Tamandua tetradactyla: one gene and its partners. The protein of the gene in region 4 purifies or fractionates together with the protein of the main gene of each other region. This does not show direct contact. Links are inferred from orthologs where the notes say so. Each region holds a gene or a part of one and is shown on either strand. Other genes may lie near its edges.

The links.
Region 1: the proteins of COPS5 (region 4) and KLHL15 purify together in Homo sapiens (affinity purification with mass spectrometry; 3 studies listed by BioGRID and IntAct, with this or other methods). This does not show direct contact. The link is inferred for Tamandua tetradactyla from reciprocal best matches to the Homo sapiens genes COPS5 and KLHL15.
Region 2: the proteins of COPS5 (region 4) and CUL5 purify together in Homo sapiens (affinity purification with western blotting; 6 studies listed by BioGRID and IntAct, with this or other methods). This does not show direct contact. The link is inferred for Tamandua tetradactyla from reciprocal best matches to the Homo sapiens genes COPS5 and CUL5.
Region 3: the proteins of COPS5 (region 4) and COPS7A purify together in Homo sapiens (affinity purification with mass spectrometry; 19 studies listed by BioGRID and IntAct, counting the BioPlex papers as one, with this or other methods). This does not show direct contact. The link is inferred for Tamandua tetradactyla from reciprocal best matches to the Homo sapiens genes COPS5 and COPS7A.

What each region holds. Positions count from the first base shown.
Region 1 is NC_135353.1:150,252,109-150,258,972, forward strand, and holds the start of KLHL15 (kelch-like protein 15), read left to right. Parts: upstream 1-3,844; 5' UTR 3,845-3,909; intron 3,910-4,259; exon of another isoform or gene 4,260-4,483; 5' UTR 4,484-4,677; intron 4,678-4,887; 5' UTR 4,888-4,953; intron 4,954-6,864. UniProt on the Homo sapiens protein: Substrate-specific adapter for CUL3 E3 ubiquitin-protein ligase complex.
Region 2 is NC_135334.1:33,919,293-33,926,616, forward strand, and holds the start of CUL5 (cullin-5), read right to left. Parts: upstream 3,007-7,324; 5' UTR 2,554-3,006; coding exon 2,530-2,553; intron 1-2,529. UniProt on the Homo sapiens protein: Core component of multiple cullin-5-RING E3 ubiquitin-protein ligase complexes (ECS complexes, also named CRL5 complexes), which mediate the ubiquitination and subsequent proteasomal degradation of target proteins.
Region 3 is NC_135333.1:69,009,215-69,016,206, forward strand, and holds the start of COPS7A (COP9 signalosome complex subunit 7a), read left to right. Parts: upstream 1-3,990; 5' UTR 3,991-4,102; coding exon 4,103-4,128; exon of another isoform or gene 4,129-4,226; intron 4,227-4,238; exon of another isoform or gene 4,239-4,368; intron 4,369-4,618; coding exon 4,619-4,823; intron 4,824-6,308; coding exon 6,309-6,384; intron 6,385-6,617; coding exon 6,618-6,706; intron 6,707-6,992.
Region 4 is NC_135332.1:110,682,541-110,689,546, forward strand, and holds the start of COPS5 (COP9 signalosome complex subunit 5), read right to left. Parts: upstream 3,011-7,006; 5' UTR 2,802-3,010; coding exon 2,497-2,801; intron 534-2,496; coding exon 299-533; intron 1-298. UniProt on the Homo sapiens protein: Probable protease subunit of the COP9 signalosome complex (CSN), a complex involved in various cellular and developmental processes.

The DNA of each region.
Region 1 (6,864 bases), on a different chromosome or scaffold from region 4:
ATTTATTTTGTTTATAGCCTGACTCCCCCCTCACCAGAATGCAATCTCTAAGAGGGCAAGGATTTTTGTGTTTTTTCACTGATAGCTCCCCAGGGCTTAGAAGAGGACTTGGCACATAGTGGGAACTCATAGATGCTGATGGAATGAATAAGTAAACCAGCGCAGTAGATTTAAAATGAATAATTTATGGAATTAAGTATAAATTAAAATGGGACGGTGTAAAGATCATTTAATATGTTAATCAGCATAATAATATGGTACAGGGTAAAGAACACAAGATGAGAGGCAATGGAAGCACTAGCTGGCACAGTCTACGCTCAGCAGCCTTCCTGATCTTTTGTTTCTCTTCCCTCTCCCCTCCTTTTGTCCTACCCTGCAATTCTATACTGCGATCCTACTGAATTATGAGCAGTTCTCTAAATGTCCCTTGCTGCCTCTCCCTGGCCTGCAATGCACTGCTCTGCGGGTACCCTTTACTCTCCTCCTTTCCCCCTCTCTTTCCCTTTGGACTGAACTTAGAGGTCACCACCCCTGAGAAGCCTTCCTTGAATTGGCCTAGGTTAGGTCCCCTCTTTTGTGCTCACTCACAATGGCAACCCATGTTGCCATAATGCATTGAGGGATGTGGGGGAGGGGCTCTGAGACCAAACCTGAATGGTTCTGGATCCTCAATGACTGGCAGGCATCAGAAGGAAAGCAGTTATTCTAATAACTGCCAGTGGATATTTGTTTGCTAAGGCTTTAAGGGTGGAAGGGAATCGTGTTGAGAAGCTTCTTTCCAGGAGGAATCACGTTGTTCAGTCCTCTTAGTCATGTAGATATGTCAAGTTATCAATTAATTTTCCTTGAGGTAGCTCCCCATTTTGGTGAAATAATACGAATGTAAATACTTCAGACACATTCTGTTTTGTGTGTGTGTGTGTGTGTGTGTGTGTGTGTGTGTGTGTGTGTGTGTGTGGGAGGGGGGTACCACTTGAAGGTTTTCCTGTGTGTGTGTACTCTCATTCTTTTTGGATGTTTAGGGATTTTGATTTCTCCCACCTGGACCAGAGAGTTGGGTTTTGGGCTCACGGGATTGGGGAAGAGAAGAGATGAGAGAAACAACTGATATGCCTAAGAGGGGGTTTCTACCAATAGGACTACAAACATGATTTAGCGATGGACAGTACAGAAATCCCTATGTAGGGACCTCTAGAACCATGACCTGTTTAAAGAGTTGCTTTTCTGTTCTGCATCAGAGTTGCCTGGTGATAGCTTTAGTTTTTTGCTTTCGCTAAGGAACTGGAAGGAGAGTCACGTTCATGAACAGGGAAGAAGTAGATGGGCTGGAGAAATGTGGAGAGATGTTGACAAACCCGAAGGCCAGAGGCAATAGGAGAGAAGCCAAGAGGAGGCATTCCAAGGGAGAAGTGACCAGCGATGACCAAGATGTGTAAGCATTAGCCAGGAATCCTCTAACATTCATGAAGGTACCAATTTACCGTTAGTCATACAACAGAAGGGCTCAAGTTATTCTATTTGGCTGTTAGAACATGAACTTAAAAGGCTGGAAAATTGGGGACTCTGAGGTTACACGGTCTGTGATAGGGAACAGGAGTTTGCTGAAGATATTACTCTTTGGTGCCCAGAGATTGGGGCTAGTTTCATGAAAAGGAATTATCAAGGTAACTACCACATATTGTGGATTTCTGAAAAGCCTCAACTTCCGTTTTTTTAAGAAAAAAAAAGGAAATGGGAGGGAACATACGGTATCCTATAATCCTCAGTATCTCTGATAAGACCCTTCCTCCATCACTACCACTCCCAGTGCTTAACTTAGAGTATGCCTCTGGATAGCCACTGCTGCTGAATAGATAGTGGATTTGAGGAATGTGTATTCTCAAATACTTAGGCTAGAGGGCTAGGGAAAGATAGCTTCCATCTGTTCGGTGGGGCTCTACCAGTGTGAAAGGATGTACTTAAAGTATTTAGGAGCCCCCACTGCTTTCCGGAAATTGGTGGGGAAAGTGATTGGAGACAGGAAATACCTAGAAGGGTTTATTTAAATGATATGGTTTTACTATTCTTGGTCTGTCCTACGTACGACACCCTTCTGCAAAACACTTTTTCTTTCAAATGAGAGTGTGAGCAGCATCATTGATTTAAGGATAGCTTTTGGGGAGTGGTGGTCTGTACATTTTAAATGTAGAGATTGATTGTAAGACACATCCCAGTTTCAGAAAACAGTCAAGTTTCAAAATAAAGAGCATTTTCAACTATATGATGATATTAAGAATTACTGATTGTACATGTAGAATGGAATGATTTCTAAATGTTTTGTTATTTTTTTAATTAATAAAAAAATAAAGCGCATTTTAAGTCACAGTGTAATGCCATGTATGTAATGTCATAATAAGGGGTACACACTGACCACCATGGCTCATGGCATCACTCGGTATCCTTAAACTTGCTCCAAGGACCACAATCATCCTTCGCAGCTCCTACTTGAATTAGGAACAGAAGCATCTCTTCTATTAGGTCAATGACACACTATGTCATGCATAGCTCAATATGTATTTCTGTCAAAAACTAATTTACAAAGAGTAAAAATTCAACGCTTTATTTTAACGTCCAAGATGAAGGTGTGAAAATTCAAATGTCCACAAAGTATACAATTTTTAAGTTTACTGTATGGTTTACAGTGGTGGTTTTTTTCTAAAGGCTTATTTTATGGTTTAAATCGGAGATTTTACTTTCCAGTTTTCCAAACGATTAAGGTGCTCCTCTTTATTTTTCCCACGAAGTAAGTAGTCTACTTCAGCAAAACAGTACACAGTGTGCTATTTTAGCCTCTTGGGAAACATGGCATGTTAAAGTTTGCTAGAAAGAGATGATTGCTTTTAGCTTCACATCTCATTGAAAGTTCATCTGGATAGTGGTCTGATGAGAAAATGGCGGCGGGGGCTGAGGGTGGGGGAAACAGAAATACTATGATACCTCAGTTTAGGATCACTAACAGGCAATGGATACCCTAATTTAAGGCTAATTTGCAGGACCACCGGCCTCCAACTGTTTATTTTTGTTATCGCCTCTTTTTCCACAGGGATTTCACAATCATACATTGAAAAACAGTTCTATGCTGTAATTTTATATTTCTAGATCAGGAAAATGTGATATTCAGAAAGCATTAACCAGAATTCGATAGCTGATTGGTTGAAAACATCACTGTCCTCTGAATGTTCTTGCCATCTTATTCTGACGCAAATAGATACCGAGCAGCTTTTTTAGATCCGGCATTTCTGTGTGGTGCAGACATGCCATTTTCTATGAATTTTCCCACCTCTGGGAAATGTATGTCGGAAACGTGTAATTGTCGTGTAATAAACTAAGTGAACCTATGACGCAACAATCCACTGCAAGTTGCCTTACAAAAATGATGTCATTTCGCGCAGATGTAGTCACTTTAATAACGCAGTTATTTGTAAAGCTCCCTCCACGTTGTCCCCGGTTCCCCAACCCCCTCCGTGTCGAAGATGCAGACAGACATTTTCCAAGCTTCCCAACTCTCACTTGGTTGCGGGCGGGGCGCACCGCAGTGGCTCGGCCCATCGCTCGTGCAGGCGGCCAGAGACCGCTGCCAGGGCACGAGCCCAGCCGAGCATCCTTTGCCCCGACGGCGGGGCCGCGACGACGGCAAGGCACCGGGCTGGGCCCGCGGCTGCAGCCCTGGCCCGCCTAATTTCCTCGGCTGGGGACCGCCGTCTGGGCGGGCCACTAGCCGGGACTTGGCGGGCCGGACCGCGCGGGACGCCGCGGGCGCGGGACAGCCCTCCCCCAACCCGGCTCCCGCTCCCGCGGCGCCGGAAGTGACGTGAGCCCAGCCGGCGCTGGGCTGAAAGATGGCGGTACTGGCGCTCGACCAGGGGCAAGGTAAACACCCGCTGGGCTGCGGCCCCCGCGCCCGCGCTCAGCGCCTGGGCCCCCTGGAGGCGCCGGCGGGGGCCGAAGGCGCCACCCCTGCCCACTCGCCACCACCCCTCCCCGGTTCCCAGCCTAGCCTCCGCCCTCCCCGCGTGGCGGACTTCCGCGACGCGAGGACAGAGCACAGAGCCCCCTCTTGGACGGCCCCGCCTCCCTCGGGCGGCTCCCGTGGCCCGCAGGGGGCGCGCGGCCTGGAGCGGCCCCTGGCTCGTGGCCTCACACGCCCCGCCCCTTGCCCGCCCCTTTCCCGCCTTCCTCCACCCCCGGCGTGGGTGATCGTGAGGCTCGGCGCGCTTCGGAGCAGACGCTTGGAGACGCCGTCGTCGACGCCGCCACCGTCTTGCTTCAGCCGCTGCCCCCGACCCCCCAACCCTCTCCTCCGCCCGCAACCCCGACTCAGCCCTCCCTCCGAGCCCTGCTAGGCCCTCGGCGTTGGCGAGGCTGGGCCCGGCCCCGACGCCGCGCCGCCTCTCGCCGAGTCCGACCGGTTCGACTTGCGACTCAGCGCTGTCTTCTTTCCCAGGACTGGTTCCGAGGGGGCCGCAGGCGCGCAGACTCGCCCCTCGCGGGAGCGCCCGGGTCCAACCCGGGAGCGGCTCCTTGTAGAGGTGCGAGGAGCCTGCCTTGTGCCATCCCGGAGCTCCGACCATCTACCGAGCGTCCCGTTTCTTCCTGATGCTTGCTGCCGTCCAGTAGAGGCTGGACAGGACCCCCGAGGTGCGTACCCGCCCCTGCACGGCCGGCCGGGGTGGGGGGGTGGGGAGCACGAGCTTCGTTCGCGGTCCCGTGCTAGGCACGGATTCGGTGGCCTCTGCGGAGTCTCACCCAGATCCTCACAGACCTGAGTCTAAAAACATTTGGTAGACGCCCGTACCTAATCTGTCTTTTGAGTTTACTTAAATTGTTTGAAATTTAATTTTTTTTCAGAGAGAGAGAGAGAGAGAGAGAGAAAAGAAGCATAATTCAGCCATTTTTTGCAGCACACAGCTGCAGGTACCATGATTATTTTTTCCCTAATCCGTTTCGCTCCTTTAAAAATTCTATTTCTGCCTGAAATAAAACTATGCGAAATTCGAGGCATGAAACCTGGAATCAGAAGGTCTGGGTTCGACCGTGTGATTCTAAGAAAACCCCTTACAGAGTCTGGGTTTCCTTATCTATGAAATCTAGTCAGTAGTATCCACATCACAGGGTAGTGAGGACTATATGAGGTCATACGTGTGAAAATAATCTCTAGCCATAAAACGTTATAAAAATGCAAGGCAATTTTCAAAGTAATCTTTGCCAGAGTGTTTAATGGTGTAGTGGCTAACTGTTGCTGCTTTAAAAAAAAATCTATGTTATAACTATACGCAATAAGGACAGAAGAGCAAAGCATTACTGTGAATCGACTAGATATGTATTAGTCTCTTTGCTTTGCCTTCCACCTATGAAATGTTAACTGCTTATTTAAATAACGGTATTCTTTAATTCAAATTTAACATGACTAGTGCTTTGCTGTTCATCTTTCTAGGCCACTCTTGCCGTTTTTCTTACTCAGAATATTTATTTAGCACCTTACATTTGTCTAGTTTTTTATATTTTCCGATGTAATTTCACCTTTGTTAATCTGATTAAATTCTAATTTAGAAAATGCTTTTTAGGTGTACTCTAATTCTATTGGCTGTCTTTCTTATCTAGGGAACAGGATGCCTGAATATCTCTACTGATTTTGAAAGTTGTTTTTGAAGAGCTTTTAAATGCATTCATTTTTGTAATTCTTAATAAATCTGGAAATGTGTAAAGATTGCAACTTTTTGGCACTTAATGTTTATATAATTGAATTCTCAAATTGTAATTATTGCAGTACTTAGTAGGTGCTTAGATTCACAGTTAATCAGTGGTAAAGGATATTAATTTGCTCCCTTTATTGTTGATTAACTTGGGGAGAAAACAGGATAGTAAATATTTCTGGTTTGAAAATTGAGTTTATTTGCAGGATTTTATATTACATATGTGTAATAGATCAGTATGGACTCATTCTGTACTTGGATGTCAAAAATGTAGCATCATTTGACTTTAAAAAATGGTGCACAAAATGTGAAAGAGAACATCTTTTAATATACCATTAATTTTAGCTAACATGGTTTTCTGAGTAGTTAGACGTTTTATTAAATTTATAATTCTCTAGTCCAATGCTAGTTGTCTTTTGGACCACACATTTGTTAAAGACAGAATAATGTAAGGCAGGCAGGATTAAAATAGCAAAAGGAAGAGCCTCCTTTCATTAATATGGTAGCTTTTATACATTGATTTATCACTTGTTTTGAAGATAAAATTTTGGCAAATCACTGCTTTATTAGGAATTTCAAGGTTTGACCTTCTCTCTGCCTCGATTTGGGTTATCTGGGGCTAAAGTCTTGGAACCAGGACCAGCTCTATGGGTGTTCATAAGGGTCCCACGTTGGATTAATAACCCGCATTTAAAACTGGCATCACACAATAAAAAGGTGAATGGTGAAGTTACTCATAATTTAAACAATACTGGTAATTTAAAATGTTATTTTTTTTTTTACTTTAAAATGACATTAACCAATTAAAGACATCATTACAAGTTGAGCAATACCACTGAAGAAAGGAAAAACTCCGTATTTTAGTACTTTTAATGACATTTTTTCCCTCCTTTTTGAACAAGGGGCCCATGTTTTGTTTTTGCTTTGGACCCTGCAAATTATTTAGCTGACCTTACTTGGAACAGTTTTTAAGCTTGCCTTTTCCTCTTATAAATGTTTTGAGAATGAATGATGTTAAATGTGAGGAGAATGAATCTATACCTTATGGGAGGGTGTAATAATGTATTATATATTTTCTCTGAATCGGAGTGCTGTAGGAAAGAGAGATGAAAGTTATTGATGAAACAGTATA
Region 2 (7,324 bases), on a different chromosome or scaffold from region 4:
ACAGACAATTTGAATTGTTTCTTTGTGTCCATCCTTTCCTCTCAAAGGATAAAAACTTTTCCACTGAGAAAAGTAATGAGCTTTAAATTGCAGTTGAAAAGTCTAGGATTCTCTTGATGGGTTGGTTTTACATCCCCCTCCTTTTCTCTCTCCCCTTTTCTGTATCTAATTGGAAAGAGAATTAAATTTAAAAAGTCTTTTAACCAATCGATACCCATCCACTAAGCATCTAGGTACATTATTGCACTAGACTTGTCTTTTTAATCATTTACTTCTCATTTACAGAGCACCTACCATGAGTGACAACAGTCTGTGTAGAAAGACATCAACAGATGGATAAAATCAAGTCCCTGCACTAATAGCGTTTACACTCTGGAAAGGGATTTAGGTATGTAAACAGATCCTACCGCTAATAAATAAGGCACAACATAAGTGCTAGAAGAGACTGATACAGCGCTACGGTTGTGCAGAGTAGGTAACCATTCTAGCTGAGGTATCTGGGATGGTCTTGATAGATAAATTGGATTTTAACAGGCAAACACTGGAGCGGTGAGGAGCATTCCTGGCAGAAGAAACAGCAAAGATAAAAAAATCATTAAGACCTGGGCAAGCTAGAGAACCAACAAGTAACTATCCTGATAGTTGTGTGTGTGTGTGTGTGTGTGTGTGTGTAAGAGAGAAAATAAGAATTAGTTATTAGTGAGAAGAAGACCAAGCTGTAAAGATCTCAAAGAATTTAAACCATCAAAAGTTATGAGCAGGAAAGTGATATGGTCATAACTGTGTTCACTCTAAAACTAAGATAAGAGTTAAGAGATAAAAATAGTGAAATCATGGGAGTTAAGATCGTCCCAGGAAAAAAGCACAAACAGAAAGGGTTGAAGATCAAATCCTGAAAAATAATTATAAGTGGGCAAGGGACACACAAAGCAGGGCAGGGAAAAACACAAGGGATTTGAGAGACAGTAGAACAAGTAAAGAATAACGTCATAAAAACCAAAAAAAAAGAAGCAGAAGTAGTCACCAGTACAAATGAAGGATGACTGGATCAGAGAAAAATCTAATCTGGTAATCAGGAGATTTCTAGTGCTTTTAAGACCAACAGCTTCAATATAACGGGGGCTTGAGTGGGAGCCAAGTTACAGCAAGTTAAGGAAAGAGGCAAAGAATTATAATGGCAGCAAGAGGGGGTTGCTTTTCCAAGACCTGTGATGATGAATGGAAAGAGAGAAAACGGCAGAAGTTTGAGGCGAAGCAAGGTATAGGCTGAGTTTAGATGAGGAGACTTGTGAACTTTCTTACAGGTATGGAAATGAGAAAAACTCAGGCACAGAGAGATTAAGAAACTTGTCCAAAGTCACAGATTTAAGTGACAGATATTCAAGCAGTGTAGCTCCAGACCCTTACCCTTTTTTAAAAAAAAAGATATACTGCCTCTTAAATTAGTAAAATGACATCTTCATTTTATCAGACAATCCCACCTAGTAGGCAGTTAAGTAGACTGGAACATGATGGTGAAGTTATAGTATATTTTAATATGTTCTATTATGCATCAAAACTGCCTGCAGGCATGATGATATGTCTGAGTGAAGAAGAGACGATTCATTGTATTTATTTTCCCTAAGCTGATCACTACCCCCATTCCAATCAATATTTTTAAGGTAAAAGGTTCCTACCACAAACACCCAGAACAAGACTGGGGCCATGTCTACCTAATTCTCCTCCAAACTTTTTAACTGATGGTAGAGGTTTCGGCCTAGATTTCCCTTGCTATTCAAATATAGAAAAGCATCTTCAAATGTTTTCTTTGATAAGGTAACTTCCCTAAGCCCTGAAGTGACACTTCATCAGTTTTCACCTGGTTAGGTGCTGCAATGGAGTGGGAGTGGGAGTGGGAAGCAGTTTCTTAAGGAAAAACAGGAATAATATGAACTCAAAAATTGGGAGGGGGTGAAGTAGGAGGGAAGGTGTAGCGTGCAGAAAAGGGAGGAAGGGGTTGGGATGGGAAACACTGTTAGGTCTGACTTGAAATTTCATGCAGAACAGAAATTGGGGAAATAGGGGTCAAGTAGTTGAAACCTGTTAGGCGGTAATTTCTTGGATTTTCCTTTTATGTGTCTCGTACTCTCGCTTCGAAAAAACTGAGACCGTCTTAGACTCTGGCTTCGACAGAAACTAAGACCCCCGCCCCCCGCCCCCCAAAGTACTAAAGGCCCAATCCGTTAGAGCACAACTCGCCCATTCACCCGTTCCATCCGGCCAGAGCTGGTCCTCTGAAAGCATCGCTCTCCGCTAGCCCTGCGGCGGGGCTTTCACTCTGCCGGCTGCCGGCGGGGGAGACAACCAGAGCCTCTCGACCCCAAGGCCAAAGACCAGTGCTCCGCTTCTCTGCGGCAACCGTCGCTGCCTCCCTTCCGGTGAACAACCCCAGAATGCTCCACGTTTCGCTGCTGAACCAGAACCAAGCCTTTTCCAAAGAGATGAATTTGGTGGTCACGGAATAAACCCCAGAATGGAGTAAGGTCTTACCTTTAACAGATTAGACGTCGCCATGTTCCTTCAACTTAAATTCTCGCGAGACGACGCGGGATTTCGTGGCGCTCCCGACCAGGCCACAACAGGAGGCCGGAGTTTCCACCAGGGATCGATAGGCCCTTGGGCCCGAACCCGGGGTGTGGTGGGCGCGGGGGTGGCGTGCTGAGACCTGACCTCGTCCCAAGCACCGAGGGCTGCTTCACTTTTTACCCCTACATGGTCACCGGAGCTTCCCCACACGGAAGAGTTCATGCAAACACTCGGGGAGGCCGGAAAGGCAAATGGGGAGAAAGTGACGGGAGCCGACCTGAAGTGAAGGAGGACGCATCGACTCCTCGAGCCTGCCCCACTCCTTCGAATTAGCCTTTAAGATTGCACCAACAGCAGCCACCGTCAACCAATTTAGCGCTGCTTAGGCCTGGCAGGTCGGGTCCGCGGCCACATCACGTGATGCGGCGGGCGGGTGCGCGCTCGGGAGCGAGCCTGGGAGCATCGGAAGACCAGGAGGCAGCGGAGAGGACGGGAGCAACGCCCTCTGCTGGCGAGATCCGACCTTTTTTTTCATACCTAAAGGGGAATACAGGATCTTGAAATGCTTAGAACTGTCTTCATTAAGGACTGGCACGTAGAAGGAGCTCAGTAAATATTTGTTGAATACATGAATGCATGAATAAATGCACAAAAGTGATAGCTATTGCTTTATTCAAGAGTGCCTGGCACACTTTTATTGTGAAAAAGATTGTTGAGGGAATGAGCATTAATCTTGGATTTCATCACGACACATTGACCTAGAAAATTCGAAAATATAAGCCCCCAAGCTCTATCCGCTCAGATCACAAACTACTGGCCAGGGGAGCAGTATGTTAATTTTATATAAAGAACCTTCAGTATACGTGGTATTGTATTATGCATGTTTACAAACAGTATTCATTAATACATTAATATGTTAAAAAGAAGTGAGAGTTATGAAGTAAAGCCTAGAAAAGGGATGAAACTTGCAATTTTAAGTGTAGTAGTCCATGTAGTTCTCCCTGAGAAGTCGGCAATTGAGCAACCACTTAAAGGAGTTGAGGGAGCTGGCCATGCGAAATGTGAGAAAGCATTCCATAGGGAAAAGCAGAGGAATATACCTGAGGTGGAAGGTTGTCCAGACTGTACAGGGAACAAATTAAAGTGTCCAGAACAGAGAAAGCAAATTAAGGACTAAGAGCATATAGGAACTTGTAGGAAACTGGAAGAACTGGCTGTTCTTCTGGGTGAGATGGGGAATCATTGCTGGGTTTTGAACAGAGTAATGACACCATCAACTCCCGTCTTACCATCCTGAGTACTGTGCATGAATAGAAGCAGAAAGGTCATTTACAAGTCTTGTTAATATCGCATTTACACCAAATGAGTTAATAGAGAGAACCTGATTAAAACTGAACATTTACTAAGTGGCAGAACAACAATTCAGAGCCTCTATACCTGTAACGTCGTAGCAGAATGGTAACATGAGGAGGACACTTAAAGGTCAATTTTTTCTACAGTTTTTGTTTGGTTTTTTAAAATAATTTTTTATAATTAAATGTTGGGGGATTTTAAAAGTAAAAAAAAAAGCCTCTTTTCCTCCTCACTGCCCCCAGGCATTCATCATGTTGAGTGAAATAATCCACACACAAAAAGATATGATTCTACTGATGTGAAATAGAATGAGCAAATTCATAGTCAAAAAGTAGAAAACAGTTTACCAGGCGTGTGGGTGGTGGCACATGCTTGTTCAGTTGACTGGCTGACACTATACTCCCCCCATTGCAATTCCATTAGTAAAATGGAATTTTATACCTATAACATGCCTACTCCTCCATATTAAAGTGTAAGGCAAAACCACCCTACCGAGGCACTCTGATCCTTGAATCTGGGTGCTTTCCCTAGTGCAGTAGCCTGAATAAAATCAATTTCCTTACTTATTCAGTGTTTTTTACCTTAGACAGTAGGCAAAATAGAATATTTGGTTCTCTTCTCTGTCATTTCCACACCTTTCCTTCATGCAAATCTGCTTCTTCCCATCTCCTAAGTTTCCACATCTCATTTTAAAGCATTACCATCCATCCAATTGCTCAGGTCAAAAACCTAGGAATCCCCAACTCAGTAGATGAACGCACTGCCTCTCCCCTAGGTGAGACATGACTCCCAGGAGTGTAAATCTCCCTAGCAATGTGGGACATGACTCCCGGGGTTGATCTGAGACCTGACATCATGGGATTGAGAAAGACTTCTTGACCAAAAGGGGAAGGGGGAAGAGAGAAATGAGACAAGATAAAGTTTCAGTGGCTGAGAGATTTCAAATAGAGTGAAAAGTTATTCTGGAGGATATTGTTATGTATTATATAGATATCCCTTTTTAATTTTTAGTGTATTAGAAGAGCTATAATTCCTTATAATACCTGAAACAGCGTTCCAGTAGTCTTGATTCTTTTTTTCTTTTTTCTGTTTTGTATGCTGTATGGAGGGGGTCACAATTCATTCTTTTTCCATGTGAGTGTCCCCTTATTGCAGCACCATTTGTTGAATTTTTTTGTTTCTTAGGTTGGTTTTGTTCTTTGTTTGTTTGCTGTTTTATTTGTTTTGGAAGTGCATGGGCCAGGAATTGAACCCTGGTCTCCTGCATGGCAGGCAAGAATTCTACCACTGAACTACCCTTGTACCCCCTAGCCTTGACTCTTTTTTTTTTTTTAATTTTTTAATTAATTTTTTTAAAAAAATTACAGGAAAGAAACACAAACATTCTTAATATGTGATCATTCCATTCTATATATATAATCAGTAAATCACAATATCATCACATAGTTGCATATTCAGCATCATGATCATTTCTTAGAACATTTGCATCAATTCAGAAAAAGAAATAAAAAGACAACAGAAAAATAAAACGAAAACAGAAAAAAAAAAACCATACACACCATACCCCTTACTCCTCCCTTTCATTGATCACTAGCATTTCAAACTAAATTTATTTTAACGTTTGTTCCCCCTATTATTTATTTTTATTCCATATGTTTTACTCATCTGTTGACAAGGTAGATAAAAGGAGCATAAGACACAAGGTTTTCACAATCACACAGTCACACTGTGAGAGCTATATCATTATACAATCATCATCAAGAAACATGGCTACTGGAACACAGGTCTACATTTTCAGGCAGTTCCCTCCAGCCTCTCCATTTCCTCTTGGATAACAAGGTGATATCTACTTAATGCATAAGAATAACCTCCAGGATAACCTCTCAACTCTGGAATCTCTCAGCCATTGACACTTTGTCTCATTTCACTCTTCCCCCTTTTGGTTGAGAGGATTTTCTCAATCCCTTGATGCTGGGTCTCAGCTCATTCTACGGTTTTTCTCAATCCCTTGATGCTGAGTCTCAGCTTATTCTCGGATTTCTGTCCCATGTTGCCAGGAGGGTCCACACCCCTGGGAGTGTCCCATGTAGACAGGGGGAGGGTGGTGACTTTGCTTGTTGTGTTGGCTGGAGAGAGAGACCACATCTGAGCAACAAAAGAGGTTCTCTTGGGGGTGACTCTTAGGCCTAATTTTAAGTAGGCTTGACCTATCCTTTGTGGGTTTAAGTTTCATGTGAAAAAACCCCAAGACTGGGGGCTCAGCCTATAGCTTTGGTTGTCCACACTGCTTGTGAGAATATCAAGAATTCAACTTGGGGAGGTTGAATTTTCCCCCATTCTCACCATTCCCCAAAAGGGGCTTTGCAAATACTTTTCTGCTCACTGATCAAATCACTTGGGGATTCATCAGGGCATCACTCTGGACAAACCAACAAAATCTCATGTCCTACCCAAGATTCCATGTACTTATGTTGTTCAACCAAGCTATCTACATAAGTTATATTACCCTAGCCTTGACTCTTGATGACAATTGTAGAACAGTGTGTTTTTTACGTATGGCTTTTACAGTGTGACCATGTGATTATGAAAACCTTGTGGCTGATGTTCCCTTTATACCTTTATCCAGGGTATGGACAGATGAGTAAAAAATATAGACAAAAAACAAATAAATAATGGGAGGTGAATAAGGGATAAAAAGAAATTGGATAGAGTACAAACTAGTGATCAATGAGAGGGAAGGATAAGGGGTATGAGATGTATAGAGTTTTTCTTTTTATTTCTTTTTCTGGAGTGATGCAAATGTTCTAAAAATGATTGTGGTGATGAATACACAACTATGTGATGATACTGTGAGCCACTGATTGTATACTTTGGATCGACTGTACGTTGTGTCAAAATATCTCTAAAATAATTTTTAAAAAGCTAGGAATCTGAGATGAACGAATCTTAAGGACATTATGTTGAGCAAAATAAGCCAGAAATGAAAGGACAGATATTGTGGGTCCTCACTAATAAGAATTTACTAAGCAAACTCTGAGAATTGAATTCAAGAAGATAGGTTACCTGGAGATAGAAAGTGGGCAGAGATTAGGCAATGGATGATTAAGGAGTACTGAATGTTCAATAAGGCTCATTATAAAGCTTCCTGGATTATAAGCTATTACAGTGGTCACATTTATTCCTGAGTTTTCCTATTATCTCTAAATTCTGAGATGCTGTGTTCTTCGTGTATAATCTGGAAGTGCCCCAGAACTTTGGCACTGTATGACACCTGGGACTCAGAATTGGAGTTCTGCAGCTTTGAGTGTCAATATTACTCCATGCAGCAATTGTTAAAGAAGCTGAAAAAGAGAACAGACTTCAATTAGAGATGTGAATGAAGCTGATCTGGTTAGGACTAAGGTAA
Region 3 (6,992 bases), on a different chromosome or scaffold from region 4:
CTTTTTCTTGTTTCTGCAATTCCACCTCGTTCCTTGATTTGCTGACATTTTACTGAAGATTTTGGTATCTCCATTAATGAGTGAGATTGGTCTGTAATTTTCTTTCTAGTGGTGTTCCTTCCTGGTTTTGTTATCAAAGTAATTCTGGCTGAAAAAGAGCTGAGGAGTGTTTTTTTCTTTTCCTATTATCTGGAAAAGTTAAAATTAAAATGAGCTGCACTTAGAAAGTTGGTGCAGCTTGCTTGTATAGTGTCATCCTTGACTTTTCTTTTCCTTTGTCATTTCACACCTAATCCATATACAAATTCTGTTCACTCTATCTTCAAATTAAATCCAGAATCCAATCACTTCTCTCCACCTCTACTGCTACCACCTTGGTTCAGGCCACCAACATCTATCTCTTGCCTGGATCACTGCAATAGCCTCCTAAGTGCTCTCATTGCTTCTATGTATCCATCATAATATATTAAACACGTGGGTCAGATCATGTCACTTCTCTGCTCAAATCCTCTACTGCATGCCCATTTCACTTGGAGTAAGAGCCATAGTCTTTCTAATGGCCTAAAAGGCCTGACATAGTCTGGTTACCCTGTTACACCTTTACACCCTGTTAATCTTTCTGTCCTCATCCCTGCTTCTCTCTCTTTTTTAATTTTTATTAATAAAACCAATCAACATACAACACGAACATCCTTAATGTATGAGCATTCCATACTTGCTGTGCACTCAGTGGCTCACAAAATCATCACACAGTTGTATACTCATCACTATGATCATTTCTCAGAACATTTATGTCACTCCAGAAAAAGAAAAAAGAAAAAAACTCATGCATGCCATACCCCTCACCCCTCCCTCTCATCGACTACCAGTATTTCCCTCCACTCAAATTCATTTCAACATTTGTTCCCCCCATTATTTATTTATTTTTAATCCATTTTTTTTTACTCATCTGTCCATACTGTAGATAAAAGGAGCATCAGAACAAGGCTTTCACAATCACACAGTCAACTTTGCAAAAGCTATATCATTATACAATCATCTTAAAGAAACATGGCTACTGGAACACAGCTCTACAGTTTCAGGCACTTCCCTCTAGCCTCTCTAATATACCTTAGACTAAAAAGGGGTTATCTATATAATGCGTAAGAATTACCTACAGGATAACCTCTCGACTCTATTTGAAATCTCTCAGCCACTGACTCTTTATTTTTGCTTCATTTCTCTTTTCCCCCTTTCAGTCGAGGTTTTCTCAATCCCTTGACACCGAGTCCCAGCTCATGCTAGGATTTCTGTTCCATACTGCCAGGGAGATTTACACCCCTGGGAGTCATGTCCCACATAGAGATGGGAAGGGCAGTGAGTTTGTTTGCTGTGTTGGCTGAGAGATGGGCCACATCTGAGCAACAAAAGAGGTTCTCTGGGGGTGACTCTTAGGCCTAATTTTAAGTAGGCTTAGTTATCCTCTGCAAGGATAACCTACTTCTCTCTCTTAACTCATTCAGTTCCAGACCACCTTGCTGTTCCTCAAACTCTTCGAGCATGTTCCCACCAATCTACAAGTCCAAAGGGCCTTTGGACTTGTAGATTGTGTTGTCTGGAATACCTTCCCACAGAAATCCATATGACTTGCTCCCTTAAAGATTTCACGTTTCTGCTCCAGTATTACCTTATCAGGTATATTTATATAAATTAGCAAACTTCTGCATCCCTTACCCCCTTAGCTTGATTTTGTTTTTCTTTTATATATTTATTTACTTATGGGCCTGAGTCCAGCCACAAGAATGTAAATACCAAGAAGGCATGGATTTTCTCTGTGTCTTCAGTAGGTAGAACAATGCCTGAAAACAACAGGTACTCAATATATACCTTTTGAATCAACAATGAATATTTTATTATGTCTGACCAGTTGCATGCCCGTCAACTTTTCTAGTTTTATTTCTGCACATCTTACTCTCTATCATTACCATTAAGAACACAGTACCTGGTCCATTGCCTTGTACATAACCATTGCTTAGTAAAAAAAAAAACATGTGAATGAATGTACATTCTGAGCTTCACATGTTTACTTAGCTCCCATCCTCCCTTTGGAGAACTTTTTCTTCCCATTGTTCCCTCTTTCCCCACTTCTATTCCTTTCTCTTTTCTATTTCAACCTTACTCATCCTCTTTTCTCTGTTCTTTCTAACCCGACTTCTTTAGTCTTCTTCCCTCCTTTTTTTTCTCTGAAGTCTCCTCTTTCCCTACTCAACCAATTATTCTCTCGTTTTTTTCCACTCACTCCTCTTTCTCTCACAGAAATATGAAACATCTGAATCAGAATTGGCTTTGAGATTCCATCATCTAATCTCTCACTTTGCAGAAACAGAAGAGATACCACAAGATGGCATGATTTGCTTTAAGGAAACAGCTAGTTTTCTTTCCTCCCTTTCTTAGAACAGGCTAGAATCAGATAAACTTATGTTTGGATTGATCTTAGCTCCACCAATCCTGGTGACCTTCAACAAATTACTTAACTTCCGTGATCCTCAGTGTCCTCACAGATTAAATGAGATATTAATATGCACCTCAAAGAGTCACTGTAAAGACTGAGGAGAAAATTGAACAAATAAAGCACCTGGCACATAATAGAACAAATGTTCGTTCTTTTCTCATTCTTTCTTCTTATATATTTTTTTGTTTCCCTCTTTAAAATAATTAAGATTGGTTTCTTTGTACTTTGAATATTTTACTATGCCTTGACCTTCCCCTCACTATTATGTTTCATCTCTTCCATTCTCCTCCTTGTGCATTCCTCCCTTCCCCTCTGCTGTTTCTCCTTCCCCTACGCCTGGTTCTCATTCTTCTATCATGAACTAAAGGGTGTAAACCATAAACACTGAGCTTGAAGTCCTTTCAGCTCTAACAGTCTACTAGCCCTATGTCTTTCTCTTAATTTCTTTTTTTTTCTTCCCCTTAGTCTTCTTTCCATTACTTACAAGTTCATTAAGTTCTCTGGGCCTCAGTTTTTCCATCTGGAAAATGGAGATAATCACTAGATTGTTGTAAAGATCAAGTGAGTTACGTAAAGGTCTCAGCCCAGTGCTTGGCACAAAAGCCTCCAACAGGCCGCTAATTTTCTTCTCATTTGACCTTCTGCAGACCTAAAATGAAACATAAAACACTATAGAAATATTAGGGTTTTTTTTTTTTCCTTCTCTCTCTCTAAAGTAACAGGTGACAGAAAAGACAGCTTTGGGTTTGAAAAGATCTGGGTTCCAGTCAAACCCATGAGTTCTGATGAGCTCAATTTCCTTATCTGTAAAATCAGAATAATAAAACATATGCCTTCCTCCAACCTAGGGCTTTTTCCTCCCCCGGAAATAATAATAGTAATAATAAGAGGTCAATTTATAGACAGCATCACTCCACAAGTACATGCTGCAGTCGCGGTAGAGGGCGTCCTGGCATTAGATTGGGGAGGCAGAACAGTTTTAAGGATTCACTGGGATAAAAATGTTTTAAACACCTGACCAACAGTAAGCACTCAATATATGTTAGCTATTCTTCTTTTCTCCTGATTCTCAAAAAATGAGTGGTTGAACTATCTAGGTTACCTCTGTCGCTAATGTTCTATTATTATTACTCCTTCCTCTATCCTTTTCGTTCCGCCTCCCCCATTTTTTTTTCCTCCTTCTCCCTCTTTCCTGCCATTACAACTGCCGTCTCGCGTCCAGCATCCGGGGAAGCCTGGGTCTCTAGGTCTCGGGCTGTTTACAACTCACACAAAGCCAACTCGGACGCGCCTGGGGCCAATAGTTCCGTCTGCGATTAGCGTCAGACGCTCTCCCACCAATAAAGTTTTATTGAATCAGAGCAGAAAAAAAAGACACCCGTCAGTCTTTCTCCAGCAGCCAATCAAAGAGTAGGATTCCTGCGTCCCTCACGCGAGCTTCAGTAGTGAGGAGGCTGGGACCGAGTTTGTCTCGCCAGATACCCGCGTCCTTAGAGCGGAAGTACGGCCGGAAGAAGGCCATAGAGTTTAGCAGCTAGAGCGACCCTGGAGGGAGGTGGCAGGAAAGGCGCAGAACAGCTGCCGGAGGTGACGGTGCGGCGGCCCCGCCCGATGCACTTGGAAGACGGAGCTTCCAGGTAGTGACCCGCAGAGTGTGACCTAGGGTACGACCGGGCAGTCGGCGGAAGCCTACGGTCTCTGAGCGGCCTCTTTAAGGGAGGGGGCGGAGCCACGTGTAAGGAGTGTGGGGGAGAGGTCACATGATCGGGGGCACGTGCGGGGCACGAGGGGAAGACTGAGGGAGTTCGTCGTCGTTGGGGTGGGCATCATGTGACACCCCTTCCCCCACTGTATCCTGTGTCTTGGGGCTCAGTGGGGTGCGTGTGGTGGCGCTTGGGGTTAGACCCAGGGGGTCGGGAAAGAGGGTGGACCTGGCATCCCTGTCTCAGCCATGCTGTGGTCAGATTGGGCGGTTTTTGGATTTCTAGATCCGAGTTCTAGACCAGTTAATCTCTGATTTCACATTGTAGTGGTGACTCAGTGCCTCAGATATCCAGCTCCTCCCCCTTTTGCTTCCCATCCTGCCATCGTTCACGGATGCCAGCTTCACATCCTCTTTCCTTGCAGCTCCGGACATCCTGAACCCAGATACCCCCAGCACAGTGCGGCCATGAGTGCAGAGGTGAAGGTGACAGGGCAGAACCAGGAGCAATTTTTACTCCTGGCCAAGTCAGCCAAGGGGGCAGCACTGGCCACACTGATCCACCAGGTGCTGGAGGCCCCTGGTGTCTACGTGTTTGGGGAACTGCTGGATATGCCCAATGTTAGAGAGGTGGGTTTTTGGCCTGAAAAGTCCACAGGGAAGCTTGGGGCTAAGTTTCAATTTGAGATGGAAGGACAAGGGTTCATTTTGCAACCCTAAAACCATTCAATTGAATAAGAATACTGTGACTAACTGGCACAAAAGAAAATAAGCAAGTGAACTTCTTAGTTTCCTTTGAAGATGAAGGCTCTGTAAAACCTGGTCATTATTTCTAAGTTCTCTCTGCTGTTTCCAGAAGCTTTCCACAAGTCTTTGGGGGAGGGGTCACTTTCTACCTTATCTGCTTTAAATAAATTAGCATATGGCACAAAGGAAGGAGGACAGGGCCTGCTAGTTTAACAAGTTCATTCCTTCCATTTACACTTATCCATAATCCCACTGGGTTCCTACAATAACAATATCATAACCATTTTCAAAAGAGAAAACTGAGCCCCTAAAATGAAGCTGACCTGATCAAAATGACATGATGATTAAGAGCTATTACGCTTGAGAAGATAGGCTGGAACACAGGTTTCCTGTTCCAAATGAAATACTTAGAAATAAAAATGTCTAAATATAAAAATTTCTTAGTCTTTGGGCATTACTCTGTGGTACAGGGAAAATTGTGGTTGCTTTCCTTTGTAGTAGAACAAAAGAGAATCAGTGTGAAGAAAAATAAGCATTATTAGGTGCCTATTTAAGAGAGACAACTCTGCTGGTAGTCTGGAAACACCAGAAAAGTATGAGACATGGTACTTACCCATTTGAAGCTTACATTCCAGTTGAAGATATAAGATGAATGAATATAAACCTATAAATCATTCAGTTAACAACTATTTGCTGAGAGAGCTATCTACATGCCTACCTTTGCTAGATCCCGAGTGAGAAACCACATCCATAGACTTGTTGAAAAGAAAGGTATTCTTTAGGTAACAACCTTAGGCAGAGATTGATTAAGTTCCAGGATGGGTGATCACTGTTAGGAGAAGGTAGAGATCTGGGTGAGTTGGCCTGGGTGATGCAAACTTCTGGCTGAGGTGGGTCTGAAGCACAGGCAACAAACTCAAGTGTCTGCCTTGGCCATATAGCCATTGGATGAGTGTGGTGGAGGCATGAGTCTGTGGTCAGTTGGGGAGTACAGCAGACTGTCTAAAGATACTCATATTCAGAAATATTAAACATAGTCTGAAGACCTATCAGTATAGTTTGTAATGTCTGATTTGTGTTTCTATCAGAGCACTTTGTGATTTTTTTTTTTGGTGGGGGGGGTGAGGGTTTATGGATGAGAAGACATTGTAAATTGGGGGAATAGCATAAACAAAGGCCTGGAGATAGAAATGAGTTCTCCCTGTGGGGACAGTGGTCAGAGAGGCAGAGAATTTCTGTTGGTAAGCTGGGTGAAGTCACGTTGCAGGAGAAAGATGGGGCCAAGGAATAGAGGTCAAAACAGGGCAAGGGTGGGAGGGAGCAGAGGGAAGCCCTCCCTGTCACCTCTTTTCCCTCATATTCTTGCAGCTGGCTGAGAGCGACTTTGCATCCACTTTCCGGCTACTCACAGTGTTTGCTTATGGGACATACGCTGACTACCTAGGTAACCGGTGGGGTTGAAACTTTGAAGGAGTGGAGTTGGGAGAAGGAAACTTTCCAGAGGGACTTAATTGAGAGAAATTCCTGGGATACCTTAGTTGGATCCCCTAAGTGCGCAGGGTCAGAGTCAAGACCTGGATTGGCATGGAAGACAAAAAAGAGAAAAATCGGGTAGGGGGTTAGGGCTTCCCACAAAACTAAAGTCAAGATTTTCTGCGCTTTGTCCTTTTTCCCTAGCTGAAGCCCGGAATCTTCCCCCACTCACAGAAGCTCAGAAGAATAAGCTTCGGCACCTATCAGTTGTCACCCTGGCTGCCAAAGTCAAGGTGAGTGGCAGTCCCCCCCAGTTGTAAGTCAGAAGTCTGTTCACAAGGGACCATCTTCAAGGATTTTGTACTGAGATAGCCTTTGAGCCAGCTGTCACTTCTTTGTGCCCCTTGCCTCCCAGAGGTCTGTATCTAATGCCATTACCTGCAACCTTTTAGGCTGAGTGTTATTCTCTTAGTTTTTGTTTTATTTTAATTTTCAATCAACTTAAATTCTGCATAAAACATCTTTTGTATTGGTAGAGTGGGTGCAGAGGCCCACACAGGCAAAAAAAGAAAGAGAGAA
Region 4 (7,006 bases):
CATTTTTTTAAAGGCAGGCTAGAAAAACCATTGTATAGATGTATCATAATTTATTTAACCAGTTTTATAGTCAGGAACATTTAAGTTGTTTCCATCCAAACTTTTCATTTTAAACACACATCTGGTAGTGAGAGAATCTGAATGAAAAAATTCCAAATTTTTAATCTCCTATACATTAAGAAATTGTTGCAAAAAACTTAATTATGAACTTCAGCGTAAAGAGAACAGTTTTAGGTTTGGAAAGTCAAAAGTCACCTTGAAACTTCTGGTTATGAACTTTAAGAAACAATGGTTTTACCTGTTTGGCATTCTCTATATACGCAGCCATGTATTCATATGCAGCAGCCTGAGCATTAACTCGAGTTTCAGTGCCCTCCACAGGCAAAGCAAAACTGTCCATAATGATCATGGTCTCACCATCCACCTTTCCTAGCATTAAACCCATTACTTCCAGGTTTCCTCCTGATCTGGCATGCATCACCATTTTCAGTAGAGCCAATGCTGAGATTTTGCAGTACTTAAAGTAATGGTGACTACAAGACAAAAACATGGTGTAATTAAATTTATATAAAGAACAATTTCAAAAGGTATTTTTTTTGGTGAAGTGAAGGACTATATATTGAAGGAATTTACAGTGATGGAAGGGGAGACAGAGTGTAAATTTGGGGAAAGAAAAAATAGGATAGGACAGAGTTCCTGCAGGGTGCCAAAAATAATAAACATGTCATAGTTCTGAACAGTTATTTCCACTTAGGGGAGGCAAAGTCTGAAAGAATTTTTAACTATGTTATTCAAGTGAAAAAGAGATCAGCTTAATAGACTTTTTCTCTATTAATTTCAGCATTACTGAGTCTCTGATTTTGACTCTGGCAGAATGGTTGTGTCTAACCAACTATTCTCAGGATCAGCCTTCTGTCCTAATGGTTGAGAACATGGGCTCTGATATCCGACTATGTTTGAATCCTGGCACTGCCACTTACTAACTATGGCCTCAGGACAACCACTTAATGTCTGTTCTTTAGCTTGCTTTTCTGTAAATAGGAATATTTCATAAGGTTGTTGTCAGGACTAAATAAAGTAAATAATCAGTAGACTACATCAACATTAAATGCATAGTCTACTATAAGTAGTAAGCAAATAACAAGGCAACCTAAACAGTCTGTATAGAATGGCCAAATTCTATGAAAAGTCATTTTTAGATGACATCTCACAGGTCATCTAAAAGCATCCAGGCTTAATTATCAAGTTTTGACAGATTTCAGTTACAAGCTGAAAAATATGAAGATTTGGTCTTAGGATTCAGGCACATGAATTAAAATTTTGGCTCCTCTATTTACTGGGGAAAAGAAAAGAAGATACAACTATTGTGATCCTATTACATGCATTCTAAACCCTTTTAATACCAAAATCTCATCTAATCTGTCTGACATCCACAAGAGGTAAGTCTTATCTCCATTTCAGAGACAAAAAAATGGGGACGCAAGGTCAATCACACAGTTAGTGACAGCTGGGAGAATTGATCTTAGGTCTATTGCTTATTTAAAAGTTCACTGCCTCAGTGCAATCATGAGGTGTGCCTTTCATGTATTTGCCTGTTTTATAATTGCAAAAAAGGAATGAAAATACAGTACAAGACTGTCAGGAAAAGATTATATGGTATTCCAGTATTAAGTTCTCAATAAACATTGCTGAATCTGAATTCTGGCAGTTAAAGTCAGCTTGTCTAAAACTCTGAGCAGATAAAATATGGTTTCTGTTGGTGTTCCTGTCTTTCTTCCTCTCCATCAGACAGTGCCTTCCCGTGCTCTTTTTACTTTCTCTAACAAAGTCTGTTCTCAGTAAAGAATAAATGTTATGATGAAAAGAACTCTAGACTTGTCATCGTTTCCAGGGAAAGAAATATTTTGCTAAGGGGCAAAGAGCCTTAAGCTCTATTAATATAATTTTTGGCTTATCTGAAGTGGTGTACCATTATTTTGGGAGACTGGATAAAGCCTCTGTATGTCCATGACATAACTACCAGCAGTTAAAAGACTGGTAGTCTTTTTTTTACATCTTTTTTTTATACATCTCTAAAAGATGGCTTATTGCTATCTGAGAGTCCTGAAGACGACTGCAGTCCCCAGTCCAGGATTAGCTGAAGGACCAGCCATAGTGTAGATCCCCTCGTGCTTCAAGGCAGAGTGTGCGGCATTAATGACAATACGGATGTTGAGAGATGATAACCCCTATCACCGCCACTTCTTTACTCCCTTTCATCTCCTGTAGGCAAATGGATTAAGGAGACAGAATTTAGGAGTCGCCGCAGACCCTCAGAGAGGGATTTGGGTTCTAGTTGCGGAGGTAAAGGCAGACAAAATCTCTCATACTCCTCTCCTTCCTAGCCCAGGAAAAGACAGTGCCAAGCTCTCCACATTCTTCAACTCCCACTCCCCCAAGCCTCTTAAACTCCCGCCACCCCTTCCCTCCCCTGCGTCTCGCCAGGGACCTCCTCACTCCTTAGTCCAGGGCTTCGCCGCCAGGATTTCCTGTTGCTGTTTCTTATCGTATTTGTAGATTTCATCGATACTCTGGGCTTCCTGCATGTTGTTGGCCAATTCCCAGGTTTTCTGGGCCATGCCGCTCCCGGACGCTGCCATAGCCGATGAGTTGAAGCTGTCCCCGCCACAACCTAACGCAACTTTACCCGTTAGGCCTCCGGGTGTGGGCTTCGGACCCTCCCCACCACCGGTGCAAACTCTTACAGGACTCTTAAAGCAGCCATGACACCTAGAACCGGAGGTGAAGGTGGTACAGACCATTCGGAGATGACAGGGGTACTTCTGAGGAGTGACGATATAAACAGAAGTAACAGGAAGACCTAGGGAAAGAGGAATCTTCTTGCGGCTGAAATGAAAACATCCTGTCCTGAGAATTATACATGTGAATTAGGCCAAACAAGGTAATTGGGTATGAGAATGGTACGACCTTCTGCACCGGAAGAAGGGCACGTTAACGGTTTGTCAGAATCTGGAATTAGCCTTCTTTGTTTGTACTGCGCAGGCTCGGCCTCCGCCATATTTAAAATGGATAGAGTCTCAGGCTATGATGGGGAAAGTAGTAGTTTTTGTCTGGGTGTAAGGGACCTCAAATAAGATAGGTTCGTTGAAAGCTTAAAATCAGGGTGCCTGTGGAGAAATTGAGATATAAGTAGTTCGGGATGGCAGTGAGAAGGAAGATACAAATGGCATCCCATTTTCCTGCTAGACAACTCACTGCGCGTGCGTAAATGTAAGGGAGTTGGCGGCAGTTTGGCTCAGCGCCTTCAGATCGGCGTTTTCTGCGTTCGGGGCGGCTTTGGAGATACGCGGACTGCGAAATACCTCTTGCATATTTGTAAAATCTAACAGCTGTATTTATATGTTTTGAGCTAGTTACTGTCCTGAAGTGTCTATACCCAGTTTTTGCTTTTTAAATTTAATTTTATTTTCTTGGTATTCAGTTTTTATAATAAGTTACTATAAAATCTTCAACATCATTCTGTGAAACTACCCCTGACCCCGAGGGATTACATCTCAGCAACCTTTAGGTTTCTAACAATAAAATGTTTATTTCATTTGTTAGTTTACTTGTTTGGGTCAGCCTCCGCCAACACTCCCGCTGGATTCAAAATTCTAAGACGCAGGGACCAGATCTGTCTTGTTTTGTCCCTAACACCTAGCAGAGTAGATGTTTAATAAATTTTTTGCTGAACAAAATTGAGTAGTGTCAAAGCTCATCATAATCTGGTCCCTTCGCGTCTCCCCAGCTTCATTTCTCTCTTTAGTCGCTCCTGAATATTTGCTCTTCCTGCAGTATATTTATTTTGACTGCATATGCGATTAGCAATTCCTGAAATTCTCTTCCTCAACTTTTCTGCCAGAGAGTTCTTATTAATTTTTAAAATACAGCTCGGAGATCTCCACTGTGAAACCTTTCTTGACTCCCTCCTCTCTCTAGTAATCATTTCTTCCATGTTGTCTCAGTCTCTGTACGTGCTTCTATGACTGTATTACATTGCATTGTAATAACATATTTGTTTACTTGAAGATTTTATTTCCACCGTAAGCTTGAGTGCAAAACACTGTATTGTAGCCTCCACTCCTAGTATGGTGCCTGGCATATACTTAAAAAACACTGGAAGGATCAAATTCACACTCAGTCACCTGCTGTTTTGACATTGACTTCCAACCGAAGAAAATCTGCATTTAAAGACACAAAGTAATTTAGGAAAGGACCCTTAGTTCCACATTCTTAGGAAGCTAGAAATCCTCTGCCTCCTCCCCTCCCCCCAAAGATAGCTATGGCTATTCAGTATTGGGGTGAAATGAATAACCTGTTGAAATGGTATTAAAAACCCAGGACATAATTAGACTAGATTGCTGGGCTAAGAGCAATGCCCAGAAGTATGTACACAGTTTTCCTTTCACGGCTTCCCCTTACCTTTTTTTTTTTCTCCTAGCTTTGACCCAGTTCTTGAGCTAGCCGGTGCCTGAGAGGCTGGAGGGGCTGGAATCTAACCTGGGAAGTGGATCCCACGGTTTAACAGCCCCGGGGCGGACTGTCTCCGGCTGGGCTGCAGGCGCCGCCTGCGGGCCCCGGGGCGGGGGTGCCCTTGTGCAGCTGTGCAGCTGTGCGGCCTCCCGGCTGCAGAGGGCGCTCCCGGCCGCGTGATCTATCGGCCGCGACGGCAGTGGGGCGGGGCCGCACCCGGCCGTTGGTGAAGGCGGGCGGAGATCTCCGCCAGAGAGGCGGAGCCGGGCCAGCGGCCTGTCACTGTTCTCCGGCGCCGAGCGACTGCCGCCTCCGTTCCTGGACACGAAAGCTCCTAGTTGGAACATTGTGAGGACCCCAAACGGAGTTTATCCTCTTGGGTGAGAGTCCGCCAGCACGGGGTGGGGATAGGGCCCGACAGGGTGTGGCCCGGGAGTAAGGGGATCAGGGCTGGATTCGCGGCCCCGGGGCGGGGATTGGGTTTCATGGACCCGGGGAGGGGGTAAGGGAGAGTCCCTGTGGCAGCCGAGCCTGGGTCAGTGCAAGGGTTACGCGGGTGGGGTTCTTTGCGGACTGGGGTCTGACGGCTGGGGTTGGGGGCGGTACACGGGTCCTGTGGGTGGAAGCTGTCTGCCGACAGGGGTAACCGGATGCGGGCAGTGCAAGTGTCGATGTATGGGGTTCCCTGCGGACTGGGTCCCTCGGCTGCAGGGCTGGAGGAGTTAGGTGACCGGAGGTTCCCTGCGGGCAGGGGTCTCATGGCTGCCGGGCTGGGGGGTCAACCCTGCGGGCGGGTTTGTGGCGGTTGCCGGGCTGGGGCGGTGCACGCATGCGGCGGTCTCGGTTTCCCGGCGGCCGCCACGGGTGTTATGGTGACTCTGTTGCCTGACAACGCATCGAAGCTTCGTAGGGAGGAAGCCAGCCCGGTGTCCTAGACGCACGGGGTCCTCCTTCCTGCACTCCTTCCTTCTTGGGGGACCCGGCCTCCACAGCTCTACCTAGCCTTTGGCGGCGCCTTTCCTTTCCCGTAGTGCTGGTTAATGGTTAACGTTTGTTGAGGGCTTGTGCGCCCCGCGCTCTTCCCGGAGCTTTGCTTCGCAAGTTATAATTTATTTAATCTTCACCACAGATGAATGAAGAAGGTGCTTTTGTTATTCTGTTCTGTTCCTGTAATTGCCTGGCTTCTTGAACTAGAACCTTTTATTTCTAATTGCTTCAATTTAGGGTACTTTCTGAGATTTCAATCCAGTTTTCAGTAAACGTTAGCAATGTTAGCAATAGTGCATCTTTTGAGAGTCTTGCTCCAAAGATTATAGGATTGAGAAGGTAGCTTGAATGTCTAGAGAGACTAAATTTTAAAGAAAACCTCATAGTTTCCATACACCTAATAACGATCAAGAAGAGTTTGCAAAAGCCAGTTATTCTGAGGAGGTTTTATTTATAAACGTACTGGCATGTCCTGTCTACAAGCAAAAAGGAATCCTGGAAAGTTTTAGGTAATGGGTGGTGTGATGGGATCCACATTAATATAATTAATACTACTGATTGTATATTGAAAGTTATTAAAGTGGAACTTATGTTTTGTATACGTTACCAAAAAAGAAAAAAAAAAAAGGAATCCTGGGGGAAACCAGTAAGATGTTGCTTTCTTAACTGTATATCATTCTCCTGGCTAGGAGGATGCTGTCTTTCTGGTGGTAAATATATGCTGAAATGCTCCCGAGGATGAAATTTGGGTCTCTTGCAGCACTAGTAATCTCTGGGAAGGAACAGGTGTGCTTTCAGTACAATTTTTATCAAATCAACCTTTAGACAAATGCAGTTGATTACGAATTTGACAGATTTCAGATATTTTAACATCACTCTGACTTACATTCTGATATGCTTTCTGGAGTGAAAGAGAAAGATATTTGAGCAAGTGTTTCGGCAATTTTACAAAACCCATAGTCTATGTAATTTTTGCGACTGTCATCTGTACTTGCCATTAATAGTTGCTTAATAGACTTCGAAAAGCTTTTATAAACTTACTTCCTCTCTGACCCCCACCCTTTTGGTCTCCCTGCAGCGACACAGTATTTACTTCTTAGACATGTTTAGGGGGATTTGTGTCCCTATGATAAGTTGCTCATGTGGATTTCATCTAATAGGAGAAAAAGATTGAGAAACTTTCATTAGATGGAGAGATCTGTGGATGGATGGGAAGTGAGAAACGCTGTCCTGGTTTACCTCTTTCCTCCCTGCTCTAGTTTGCTGGCTGCCAGAATGCAGTATACCAGAAACAGAATGGCTTTTAAAACGGGAATTTAATAAGTTGCTAGTTTACAGCTCTAAGGCCGAGAAAATGTCCCAATTGAAACAAGTCTATAGAAATGTCCAATCAAAGGCATCCAGGGAAAGATACCTTGGTTCAGGAAGGCCGATGAACTTCAGGATTTCTCTCTCAATTGTGAAGGCCCAAGGCTTCGGGCTTCTCTCTCAGCTGGAAGGGCACATG